Linked DNA regions of Yarrowia lipolytica. The protein of the gene in region 1 purifies or fractionates together with the protein of each later gene. This does not show direct contact. Links are inferred from orthologs where the notes say so. Each region holds a gene or a part of one and is shown on either strand. Other genes may lie near its edges.

The links.
Region 2: the proteins of YALI1_D05873g (region 1) and YALI1_E28575g purify together in Saccharomyces cerevisiae (affinity purification with mass spectrometry; 4 studies listed by BioGRID). This does not show direct contact. The link is inferred for Yarrowia lipolytica from reciprocal best matches to the Saccharomyces cerevisiae genes LSC2 and LSC1.

What each region holds. Positions count from the first base shown.
Region 1 is NC_090773.1:584,956-591,779, reverse strand, and holds YALI1_D05873g (uncharacterized protein), read left to right. Parts: upstream 1-3,888; coding exon 3,889-3,936; intron 3,937-4,397; coding exon 4,398-5,657; downstream 5,658-6,824. Other genes in the region: YALI1_D05901g (uncharacterized protein), read right to left, coding at 1,060-1,629; YALI1_D05892g (uncharacterized protein), read right to left, coding at 2,179-2,388, 2,439-2,531. UniProt on the Saccharomyces cerevisiae protein: Succinyl-CoA synthetase functions in the citric acid cycle (TCA), coupling the hydrolysis of succinyl-CoA to the synthesis of ATP and thus represents the only step of substrate-level phosphorylation in the TCA.
Region 2 is NC_090774.1:2,854,947-2,861,665, reverse strand, and holds YALI1_E28575g (uncharacterized protein), read left to right. Parts: upstream 1-3,499; coding exon 3,500-3,537; intron 3,538-4,177; coding exon 4,178-5,126; downstream 5,127-6,719. Other genes in the region: YALI1_E28599g (uncharacterized protein), read right to left, coding at 104-1,732. UniProt on the Saccharomyces cerevisiae protein: Succinyl-CoA synthetase functions in the citric acid cycle (TCA), coupling the hydrolysis of succinyl-CoA to the synthesis of ATP and thus represents the only step of substrate-level phosphorylation in the TCA.

The DNA of each region.
Region 1 (6,824 bases):
ATCTGGCACTCCCTCTACTGTAACAATGACTCTATATTCAGATCTCGCTCCGGGGACTACTACACATAGACCGGATCTACCCACTGGCAGATGCGACACGATACTGGGGTTTGCGGCCGATAATAATCGACAGGCAAACACGTCCATAATTTGGCCGTAAACAGGCGGATTCTGGAGGCTATAGCTCCAAGCTACCGGCTACTATACTGCCACTATTTATCCACAAAAAAGCAATCCTAACCGGTTCAAGTACCTCACACAGAGAGTTGTACTGTAGACATTGTGTTAGACTGGAGGTTAGAAGAATAGTGGAAACATTAGTCGACACGCTAGCCAAGAGCGATGGCGTCATTCCGCGTGACCTTGGGCTTCTCCACCTTTTCCCCCCTCCCTCTTGTATCATTCTGTGGATCACATTTCTTCAGTTTTCTTTCGTGCACCCCGCCGTGTAAGGTGTTGCTTAACCGTACTTGATCGATGCACCTTCAAATCTCTAACCAAAATTCCCAGATTTCTTAATAATCAGACCACTTTTCCAACGGGCTGCAGACTACTGCACTTAAGCCGTTCCTACTCGGAACTTGTGAACCCAAAGTTGCCGCGTCCAGACGGGTCCAGACCCCATTGATCTGTTTGTAAGCATGACACGGTGGCTGCGCACAGGAGACACCTCCCAGAGAGACTAGACAGGGTACATCTAGCTTCTTTACCAGAACGCATACAGTTTGCTGTGCTAGTGCGTGCGCAAGGAGATTGTGGTCTAGCACTTCTGGGCGGTGGGGGGGTATAGTTTTTGGAGATAATCGGGGACACTTTCAGACACGCCAATCGGCAACACTTACAAGTGAGTTCAATTAGTGCCGATTTCGAGCTAACTAACTACAAGTACTTGTCTGGTATGTTTAGTTCCTTGTGTACTGACATACAGTTATAGCACAAGTATTTTGGAGGTGCTATCTATTGTGTTTGGCACAGCACCTTTAAAGAATATAATACATGCAATAATTAAATAATAGGCCAGGCCACAAGCAATTTTCTAAGCTCTTTCGTCCGTCTGGGCTAACGTCGCTTCTTCTTGGTCTTCTTGTACTCGTCCAGAAAGTTGCCTGTGGTTTTGGCAGACTTCTTCGACCTGCTCTTGATATCCTCCTCGTCCGAGTCAGACTCGTCCTTCTTGTTTTTGTCATCAGCGTGTTTCTTTACCACGTAACCCTGTCGCATCACGGGAGTCACGGTAGCCACCGCATTGGCCTGGCTGCCTTTACTGTGCATCTTACTCAGCGCCTTCATGGATGCAGACATCTTGGAGGTATCTGGCTTCGTCACGCGGCCTCCTCCAGGCGCCGTGCCAATTTTGGAGCCAACTCCAGCCCAAGACGCCACTGGTTGCAGCTGCTTGACCAGCAGTTTCTGAGCATCTTCATCCGCGCCGCCGGGATCACTGTCACCGTCACTGTCGCTCATCCAGCCGCTCACGAGCTTCTGGGCCGAGTCAATGGAGACCGCAAACTTGGCGTTAAGTACTTTTGCCTCGTTGACATTGAGCGTGGACATGATGGATATGCAAATGTGGTTGTGTTGATGTAGTGTTCTCGCTGTGATATTTTTCTTGATTAGGTTCTCATGCATGAACTCGGTGATGGAGGTGTAAATGAGCTGCTGCTGTGATCTCGCACCTAGGACTGGTGCAGACGGGCGCCAGACACAGCAGTAATGGCAATATAATGGAGAGCAAATGGCAGTTGGACATGTTCAAACCCATTTGGCATGCCCATACATAAACCACATCCACTCATAACCTGTCGATTCACCCTTACACACCCACACCTAACATTGAGATCCTCCTGGCAAGCACAAATACTGCTACCTCACCTCAACACCAAACACCACAACTCAACTCAGCCCATTGTAAGGAGCATGAACACCCCAACCCCGCCCAGCCCCCCCCCAACTCAAGCACCACCAGCCATACCCTCCATTCTTCTCACATCTGTTGAGTAGATAGAGTTTCCAGTTAATCCGAGTCCGTGTCACCATTGTCGCTGCCAGTGGTAGCTCGGAGCCATTAGCTACGGTGATTAGACCGTGCTGTCGTTTCTCTCGGTCGTTTCAATGGTCCGTACCACGATACAGTTGAGTTCGGAGAAAGTCGGGAGACTAACAGGTTTTAGTGGATTTTCACTGGCAGCTGTCACAGGTCAACGATGAGTGTGCAGAAAGCGGGGATACATTTACGGTACGGACTAACAGGGCGGAGCATGTTCGGAGGGGGTTGTGGTGGAAGGTCTCTCTAGGAGTTGATGTGGTAGTAAGTGACGAGTTGTATAAACACCACGAGCACAACTGACCCACCTTTCTACATTCTCTGTATCCGCAAACCTGACTTGACTGGGTTATGATATCCGTTAGATCCTTTTGAAATTGCGATGCGGAAAAACAAGAGACCCTGTGACTTGACAGGTACCCGGTCTCAAAAGCGGGTGACAGCTATCTTGCGTTGTGGGCCGTATTGAGAGCGTCTTATGCCTCATTGGGGCTGGTTGGATTGTTCTGTCCGCATTGCGGTTGCTTTTCTATTGTCAATTTGGGGCCTCCAATTATTCTGTCACGAATATTTTCCCCGTTTTGTTCCTGCTATAATTTTCTGCTGATCGGTGCCTGTCCGTGGTGGTATCGTACATATCGTAGCTCCTCCGGTTCTTTCCACTCACAGCCGTGCCAGGATGCAACGCCGCTGTCCAGTGGAAGGAGGCCCACGCACACACGTTGAAACTCTGCGCATTGGGTTTGATGAGTGAGAGATGAGTGATTATTGGAGCGGCGGCGGGAGGGTTGGATTAGTCAGCTAGATGTACGATTTCCACGTGACCTGGCGGCCATGAACCACTTAAAGTGGGACTTTTGGTCACCTTCATTCATCACGGTCACCGTCTCCAGCCTAGTAGGCGCGTAATTAGCGTGACACGCCGTTTGCAGAGGGCTTAATTTGAGACGCAAATTTGTAGTGTCTTCGGAGGGTAACGGAGCGCGATTTGCGAGGTTTGGAAGTCGTTTTGGACAAAAAAAGTAGATAAATATAATCTCAGAGTCTGGATTGGTGCTCATACAGAATTCCAAACCTCCGCAACCACCAGAACCATCCCATTTACTCCCTCGACTCCTCCTCTTCCTTCAATTGTCCTCAACCTCGACGTCCCAATCCAACTCTAAAGCCCAAAGTCTATAAGCGAAAAATGTCCACGGCTCATCACCCGCACCACGGCTCAAGTATAATGGCTATTATCGTACCTGTGAGGGGCTACAGTATGAGGCAGGTGGTACCCACCACGCCGTGTGGCAACTGGAGCAGATGGCATGGCTTTATCGGTTCAAATGGCCAACAATTCGGCCTCAATTGACCTCCAGACCTCGTCACGACCCTCGGACTTAGACCCACACTATTTCGGAAACTGTCGGCGACGGCCGCTATCTCCCAGTAAACCATGTCCCCTTGGCTCGGCCTCACAAGGTCTTTACTCGGCACACATGTAAAAACAGAATAACCTTAAGCTGAGCGGGTGCATTTGGAAGAGGGGTAAGCATGAAAGAGAATCGTGTCTAGAGGGGGTGTAGAGCGCAATTGACGAACTGGACACAGTAGAAACCATTGGTGGGCCACTCATAGCCCCCAAGGCGATTCTTGGGAGCTCTCCGTCCCTCCAGCGGCTTTTAGACCGCCAAAGTAGGACGTTTGGTTGCCTCTAAAACCCCCAACACACTAACTCTGAGAGAGCGTCCGCTGTTACCCGGCAGTCAACACTGTGTACATGTTGGTGCTGTCAACCAAAAAGTAAAAGGCTCGTGGATTTCATTTTCCTCTTACCAGCAAACCACACACCATCCCACAACATGTTTTCGCGAATTGCTGCTCGATCTCGAGCTGTTCGACTTAATCAGGTGAGTATTTGGCGCCACAGCCCGCCACAATGGCTCCTACCGGTGTCTGTTTCCGCCGACAATTGTCCTGTTTTTCCGGTGCGCGTTTTTCGGCGTTTGTGGTTACACATGTCCAGACGCTCGGAAACCACGCTGGGGTCTTGTGAACGACACACCGGCAACGTACATCTGTGGATCATGGGCAATTGAGTCGCAAACCACCTCGCCACATTCGTCTTGTTATCTCCAACGGCCTGTTCATTGTCGTCCGGAAAAACGCCTCGGCTAAATGCACATGCATGCACATAATATGAAATTCGTGCGTGCAGAGGGATAATGAGCATGGGCAGGACCAACACAAGCGCAATGCCATTCTCATCGAAGTGGCAATTGACCCCATCGACTGGGGTTCTCTTGAGCCGTCCCTTGACACTGCGTATCTCCCCGTTGTCCAAAAAAGAAATTAATCTCACTAACCACAGGTCGCCAAGACTCAGACTCGAAACCTCTCTCTCCACGAGTTCCGATCCGCCCAGATCCTCCAGAACTACGGTATCGATGTCCCCAAGGGAGGCGCCGCCACTACCCCCCAGCAGGCTGAGGATATTGCCAAGAAGCTTGGATGCGAGGATATGGTCATCAAGGCTCAGGCTCTGACCGGTGGCCGAGGTAAGGGCCACTTCGACAACGGCCTCAAGGGCGGTGTCAAGCTCATCTCCTCCCCCACCGAGGCCAAGATGTACGCCGAGCAGATGCTCAACCACAAGATCTTCACCAAGCAGACCGGTCCCCAGGGTAAGCCTGTGACTGCCGTCTACGTTGTGGAGCGAGAGTTTGTGCGACGAGAGGCCTACGTTGCCATCCTCATGGACCGAGCCACCCAGAAGCCTATCATTGTCGCTTCTTCCCAGGGAGGTATGGACATTGAGGGTGTTGCCGCCGAGAACCCCGATGCCATCCACACCTTCCCCGTTGACATCCACACCGGTGTCACCGACACCCAGGCCATTGAGGTCGCCAAGGCCCTCGGTTTCTCCTCCAAGGCCACCCAGGAGGCTGCTGACGACATCAAGAAGCTCTACAAGGTCTTCACCGACAAGGACGCCACCCAGATCGAGATTAACCCTTTGTCTGAGACCACCGACCACCGAGTGGTTGCCATGGACGCCAAGCTCGGCTTCGACGACAACGCCTCTTTCCGACAGGAGGAGGTCTGGTCCTGGAGAGATCTGACCCAGGAGGACCCCGAGGAGATTGAGGCTGCCAAGCACGGTCTTAACTTCATCAAGCTCGACGGAAACATTGGCTGTCTTGTCAACGGAGCTGGTCTCGCTATGGCCACCATGGATATCATCAAGCTGTACGGAGGTGAGCCCGCCAACTTCCTCGACTGTGGTGGAGGAGCCACTGCCGACGCCATCAAGAAGGCCTTCGAGCTCATCACTTCCGAGCCCGGTGTCACTGCTATCTTCGTCAACATTTTCGGTGGTATTGTCCGATGTGACAACATTGCCAAGGGTCTGATTGCTGTTGCTCAGAACATGAACCTCAACATTCCCATTGTTGCCCGACTCCAGGGAACCAACCTCGCCGAGGCCCAGAAGCTCATTTCCGACTCTGGCCTCAAGATTTTCTCTTTTGGCGATCTTGATGAGGCTGCCCAGAAGGTCTGCCAGCTCTCCAAGGTTGTTGAGATGGCCCGAGAGATTGACGTTAACGTCTCCTTTGAGCTGCCTCTTTAAGCGCGCTTAGAGACCAAGTTATGAGTAGTAATAGATATGTTATAGATAGACGTGAGTGTAGTTTACAATTCGTATACGAATACGAGTATGTACTGTAATAGTACGAGCACGGGTACATACAGTAATTAGAGGCAAGTTCGATCTGGGGTGCATATGGAAAGTTCGGGTCTTAACTCTTCTCCTGTGGAATGTACCACGGGGTCTAGTGTGCACCCTGGCAACATTTTATGATAGTCGAACATGGTAACTTATAGACTTGTAGCTTTTCTTGTGTCTTGTGTTTACTACAAAAAGGAGAGCCACAACACAAGACCCTGTCTATTACTTGTACTTGTACTCTGTAGGACGTTAGCTTCTCCAAAGTTTCACCGGTTGGTACCATTTCTACCATTTTGTGGAACAAAAGCACTGCTCGGCTCGTCTGTTGGATTCTTGGTTGTTTACGGTCTAGGCTGAGATGGGACCCACAGTACATGAGTGTGGTCCTGCCAAAAAAGTCCGACGCTAGGGAGACTACAAGTAGCGACAACTAGTATCGGCACCAGCGCCTCTACTCGTGGCATCGCGTTACATGCTTGTCGTACAGAACCCTGGTGGAGCTATGTGCGGTTAGGCTGAAGCGCTCATTGCCACCGCACTACTGCCGACATAGAACACACGTGGGCGGTCGTTGCGGTATCATTATGTCCACCCTTCTAGACTGACGTAAAACGGCGACTCTTTTGACATCGGCGTCTTGAGTATAGTCGCCCCATGGCACTTTTCTAGGTTATGTCCTGCTATGAAGTATGGAGCTATGTATTCGTTGAGATCATAGATGCGCCATGTTGAGACTGCTTGTTTAATCTGATAGTTTCCATGTCGGTTCTTGTCCATATCCCTTTTCGTTCGCCTTGGCTTCTTTCCTGTCTAAGATGTCGCGCTACTTGTACTTGTAGACTATAGCAATCGGCTAAATGCAGATCTCCACACTTAACCCAATCTCATCTTTTTTTTTAAAAAAAGCACATACAATGCAAGTGCTCCTTGGCATGGGGTTGGAGATGAACCTCTAGGCCCATGTAAGGATACGGTATGTAACCAACAACAGCAGACAAGGGAAATCTGCGGACCGCAATTGGCTACTAGTAAAACAGATCTCTTTGTAAAACTACTCTTTATTTCCCT
Region 2 (6,719 bases), on another chromosome or scaffold:
CCAAATCCCTCAATAAAACCTCTCCGTGCCCTCAATATGTACAAATACACAATAATTTAATGTTAGCTATATGCAATTCTCGTCTCACTTTTTTTCCCTCTGATCAAGTCAACTTCTTTCGCTTGCTCCACAGTCCGGAGAACTTTTCGTAGTTGATCTTCTTTGAAGGAGCTCGCTGCTGCACCATCTGTTTAGTACTCTCGGCCGCGTCCTTGGGAGGAGCAGGCTTCTCGCCATCCTTTTGCTTCTGTCGCTTTCGCTTCTTGGGCTCCTTATACACTCCAGCGGCCTTGTCGGCCTCGATCTTCAACAACTTGGTTTCCTGTTCCTGCAGGTACTCCATGTTGACGGTGGTCCAGACGGCCTCCTTGATGTTACGCTCCTCGTCGTTGAGCAGAATGGAGTCGATTTCGGGATCGTCGTCGAGATCCGATAACGACTCGACCACTGGAGGTCTGGCGTCGCCTCCTTCCTTCTCGGCTGTCTGCTGATCCTCCATCATCTGCTCATGGGGTGTTTTCATGGCCAGAAGTGCCTCTGTGGCGGCATTGTTAGCCTCCTCGTTGAGCATTCGACGCCGTTCTCGCTCGTATTCAATGATATACTGGGCTCTGTTCTGAACGGTTCTCTCTGCCTTTTCCTGCGGAGTGTCTTCCAGAAATAGCGCCTCCTTGGCCCGCTCCTCCGGGTTTTCGTTCTTCTCCACCATCTGCGCCATCATCTCCTCCATCTCCGCGTCAATCTCGTCCTGAACCTTCTCCTCAATACCTTCCTGCTCCCGCTTTCGATGCTTCTGGTACGAGGGCGGGTCCGACTGCGACTCGATGTTGGTCATTCGGAACACTGAGATGGTCTGGCGACCAGCCTCGGTGTGTCTGAACTCGTCCAGACGTCGTTGAAGCGTTTCTTCCGCGACCTTGGCGTAAAATGCAATCTGCGTCTTGGACCGACGCTGGTTGTTCATTCGAGCTGCTAGCAGCAATGCGGCGGCGGCGATACCGGCAGGACGACGACCCTCAACCAGATAGTCACGTCCCATACGCTGAACAAGTCGAACCGCGTCGTTTCGCACGTTTTTTGCGTTGTCAAAGTCGAGCTTGGACGCAAACCGCTGAATGTAGATGCTCGGGTCGATCAGTGGCAGGTTCTTGATGTCCAATGTCTTGAGCAGTTGCAGGTAAGTGGTTCCGATAGCAAACACGTTGCAAAATAGCTTGTCTGCGAAATCAATAAGCATTTCATGTCGCAGTTCTCGTCTGCAGGCAACGTACAGACACGCCGAAACCACGTATTGTGACCGTCGGCCCTTGACAAAGTTCTTGGTGACGGCTAGAACAAAATACCGATGGGCCTTTTCAATGATATGTTGGGGGATATCCATGGCGTGTGCGAGCGCTGTGATTCGGTTCTTGCCCTTCTGTAAAGTCAGCTCGCGTGACTCGCCGTGGAAGTTGTTGTTTCGGATACCGGACTGGTCGGCTCCCACAAACGAACCGTGCACCACGGCAGCTCCAGAAGACGACTCTCCGAAGGTCACCTCGGACACAATAGGCGCGTCGTCAACGACAACACCACAGTTGGCACAGGACGAGTCGTTTCCGTCTCGCTTGATCGATGTCGATCCACATCTGGGGCACTTCATGGTGGCTGGACAGTGTTCTGAAGGTGTGCAAGTGACGAAAATGAACAGTTGGTAGGTGATGTAAGCCAAAGATGGATTTTTTATATGCATCTAGAGTTTATGTGGGATGAAGAGAAAGTGGAGAGTATCTGACACGAAGTGAAACGACGGTTTGAAGGAGAAGAAATACGCGTGTTATATATTTGGTTTTTTCTTCCATTTCTGGCGCTTTTTCCGAAATGACAACTATTTTATCAAAATTGATACGAATTTTCCTGATTTTTCGCTGCTTCCATGTTTTGGTTACAGAAGGGAAACCCAAAACATGGACGCTAAAAAACGCCATAAACAATGTCATCGGTGGGATTCGAACTTTCGTGTGGCTAAGTCATTTTCGGAAAAACCGACATACCTGCAAGAGTATCGTTCATGAGATGTCGGCGTGCATGAGCGCCAACAAGCGTGTACAGTACATACATGACATGCGTTGAGATGTCGGAAAAAGACATTGTATATTCACACGACTCGACAAGACGTGTGGTGGTGAGATTTTAAGACTGTTTCGATATTTTTCAGTGTATATTTCAGGTGGCAAATACCACAACTCTAATTAAATAATTTTAGCTTTTGTCAACCCAACTTCTGGGTCCGTTAAAAGGGTCTTGTAGACACAAATACGGCTGGAATTTTGCCTGGAAGACGGCATGTGGCCCATTTATGTGTATGTCACATCACATCTCTGCTCTCGGGCCTTACCCCACCTCGAGTTATGTTCGGCATCTCTTGCACTTGTCAGGTATGCAACATGGTTGGTCCGGCGGCACAACTATAATGGGAGCTTTATTTGGGACAGAATTGATTGTTGAAATGTTGAACCGACGTTTTTCCGTTGTATTTTGCTGTGCTGTGCTGTGCTGTATATGGACAGTAGTGCATCCCATCCCCTGTCTGTTTGTGTGGTCGGACCGCTAGCTGTTAGCTGGTTTTTAGCCATTTTTTCAGCATTTTTCAAGCCTATCATTTTTGCAGCTCCGATTTCACCCATACTTGAAGGTACAGTGAGTGTACGCGTCCTGTCACAACTGATGGCCCAGAGCTGAAAGTAATCATGACTACAATTGTGGTGGTGTCGGTGTTGGTGGTGTCGTGGCGGTGTCGTGTTTGTGCTCAATCCACGAATATATAAACCCCCCGATCTCCCCAGAACCATGACGGAGCCGACATACTCCCGACTCTTGCACTCACCACCAGGCACGCCCCCTCTCTAACTTTGGACCTGCCTCGGTTGGGGGAGGTTTTGCATAAGATGAAATGCACGGCGGCCAAGAATCGGCAACGACCATAGGGAGCTACCGGTGCTTGGGTCAGTGTAGAGCTCAACGGAGTGACTACAATGTGGTGTTGAGCGGCGGTTTACGGAGACAAATGATTTCCAGCTTGATACCGATTGCGACACAGAATATGTGGTGCCATGTGGTGCCATGTGGTGTCTGGTTGTGTATATATATATATATATGGGTCTGGCCTGTGGCGGACTGTCCTTTGCCTTTTGTTATGTTATTTCCCACGCGTTGTTCGTCCACTCCAACACTCCCTTTCTACCCCTCAGTGGACTAGGGTTACCAACATGCTCGGCTTCTCCTCCTACATTGGACCAAGACAAGGTTTGGAGTTTAAGCGTTGGGAGGAACCACGGGTGCAGTCGGTGGTGGTCGGTCGCTCCCCCAGGGCGTGTGTGTGTGTGAGTGTGTGCGGTCCTGTATAATCTCGCACCCAACGCAAAAAAAGCCAAAGGTAAAGTTTCCAACCTTGGAGAACTAAAGAAGACCCTTCTAAGAAGACGGACTTCACACTCTTACCAACCACACAACACACAAGATGTACTCCGCCATTCGAGCCACCCGTATGGGTGTCAGGTGAGTAGAGCAATGGGCAATGGGCAATTGCCAGAGACAAGACGACTGGAACGGGCGCGCCACCACATCCACAAACACACACAAACACACAGTCGTCAACTGTGCACGTTTGGTCACAACTCCACCACACAGGTGCTGCAAACTCGACGGAAAAGAAGAGGGGGCCCGCACCCGTCACAGAACCACCCAGACATGTCTCCACGTGGGTAATTGAGCGTGTACGAGCGTCGAGAAGCCCGGATTGCCGTGTCGGGGACTCTGATCGCGCCCTCTATCGTTGGCCTTTCCACGGCTCTTTTTTTTACTCATGCGCTGTTAATTCCGGAATTTGACGTAACTTTGAGTGGTCGGAAAATCACGGACACTACTGCACGCGTGGGACAGCGTCTCCAGACCTCGACGGCGAGCGGTGCAATGGCCATGACAGCTCCACGGGTTGAGTGCACCGTCGCCAGTCGCCCCCTCAGCAGTGCCGTCTGCAGGTAAATTAACCGAGGCTGCATGTGGTTGTTGATATTCCGGAATAATCCGGTGCATGCAGGACAGAGCGACGACATTGCAACAAAACAGACAACACCGTATGAATGTGACCAGCAATTGAGCTGTAAAATAGACCATCTCCTTCCCCCCACTAACACAGATCCTTCTCCACTTCTGCCCCCGTCCGAAGCTACGCTGATACCGTCAACAACCTGAAGATCAACTCCAACACCAAGGTGCTCTTCCAGGGCTTCACCGGAAAGCAGGGAACCTTCCACGCCCAGCAGGCCATCGACTACGGCACCAAGGTCGTTGGAGGAACCAACCCCAAGAAGGCCGGCCAGAGCCATCTCGGTCTCCCCATCTTCGGCACCGTTGCCGAGGCCATGAAGGAGACTGGATGTGACGCCTCCGCCATCTTCGTCCCCCCTCCTCTTGCCGCCGCCTCTATCGAGGAGGCCATTGAGGCCGAGCTGCCCCTCGTTGTCTGTATCACTGAGGGTATCCCCCAGCACGACATGATCCGAGTGGTCGACATGCTCAAGACCCAGTCCAAGACCCGACTTGTCGGTCCCAACTGCCCCGGTATCATTGCTCCCGGCCAGTGCAAGATCGGTATCATGCCCTCTTCCATCCACAAGCGAGGCCGAATCGGTGTTGTGTCCCGATCCGGAACCCTTACTTACGAGGCCGTCAACCAGACCACCCAGGTCGGTCTCGGCCAGTCTCTCGTTGTCGGTATCGGAGGTGACCCCTTTGCCGGTACCAACTTCATCGACTGCCTCAAGGTTTTCCTCGAGGACGAGAACACCGACGGTATCATCATGATCGGTGAGATTGGAGGTACCGCCGAGGAGGAGGCCGCTGACTTCCTCAAGCAGTACAACCAGACCCGAGAGGTCCCCAAGCCCGTCTGCTCCTTCATTGCCGGTGTGTCTGCTCCTCCCGGACGACGAATGGGCCACGCTGGAGCCATCATCTCCGGTGGTAAGGGTGGTGCCGGCTCCAAGATCTCTGCTCTTGAGGCCGCTGGTGTTGCCGTCGAGCCTTCTCCCGCCCGACTCGGTAAGACTCTTTACGACGAGTTTGTCAAGCGAGACCTGCTCTAGACTGTTAGTTAATTGATAGATGTTATTAGATGAGCGGGTGGTGGCCCAACCAGCACTCTGACGAGAGTGAACGTAGCAACGGTCTGCTCTAGTGATCATAACACTTCCACAGAAGAAGCCATTGAGTTGTAGTAAACGGGTACCAGTGCGATAGTAGGCTGTTGTTCGTATTTTAGACACAACACTTGAGAACCCTACCTTGGAGATGGCCGTATTATGTATCAATTATTGTTGGATAGATGATGGTCTGTTTTCTGATTAGAATTCAAAATAACGACATTCTCTTTCTCAATTGGCTAATAAGAGAGGTTGAGGGAGCTATGGAGGTGGATTGGGGAATGGCGATGAAGTATTCCACAGCTCTTGAGAGTCGGCTATCGTGATATGTTGAATGTATGGAGGTCTCTCAGTCCTCTTTTTTTTGTTATAATCCACTTTGACCACTTGTAAAGCTCTCCTTTCAGATAGTGATCAGGGACAAAGTAGTGTAGCTGACTGAAACTACTGTAATATGTCCCGCTTCACTTCAACAAGACCCTCAAATCATGCACAACTAAACTCTTGTTAGTTTAGTTAGAATTTGTTGGGTGGTTAGTTGAAATAGGAAGTCCACTGGTCACTGGTCTGCATCGGTCTGCTGGGTAACCATTCATTGTTCCCAAAACCATCTACAGCACAAGTGGTATATACCAATGGATGTAATGTAAGCTGTTCATTTAGGACTACGGGATATTGGCCATCCTGGAGACATCGTACTCGCACTCATGTTGTGCTGTTGTATAATCTAATGAGTTACTTTAGCATTTGTTGAAACTTTAGTTAGAAACTTCAGGTAGCTATACGTCCCTTCTACCTTCTACATCTACTCCATGTGCAAATCATACAAACAACCGCATTTACGAAGAGTTGGTGAAGCATTTCCTGTCGCCGACTAAACAACTCAGAAGACTCATTCGCACCGCAACTTGCCCTAAAAGTGAGATTACCTACAGTGCACAGGACTTGCTTGGTATGACTTCGATAGCAATTTGTGTTGTGTTGCTTAGAGAGTTCTGGAGTATAATTGTACCCAATTTAACGCCGGTGATAGGTTTGAGTCAGCAGAAATTCTATCTTTTGTGTTTGTGACTCATGGTGCGATTTATATGAGCACGTTGGAATTATTTCGTGTTTTCGTGATTATCGTAAAATATATTTCACATTGGAGAAATTAAGCTCATGAGATGTGGTGGGGGTGCGGTGGGGGTGCGGTGGGGGGTGAAGTTTGGGATGAATGGGGGCGGGCCATATATCTTGTTCGGTGTTTTGCAGTTGTGAAGTTCAATTTGAATAGCCACTTTTTGCAGCTCTGACAATATTTCTGTATTATTTGCAAGCGATTCTGACCCCAATTGAGCCTGTTGAATGGTGTCATAAAACCAGACGTTGCGCGGGGCCGAACTTTGTTCGAGCTACCAGTAGGGGGGGGGTAACATGTTTGTGATTTTGAAACACTGGGAAACTATGAACTGGACTTTATCCCCTGTATAATCAAGCTCTCTATATGTTTTCGTGTTTTGTGTATATTTTTTTCCATCCTAATCGGCCCATTAT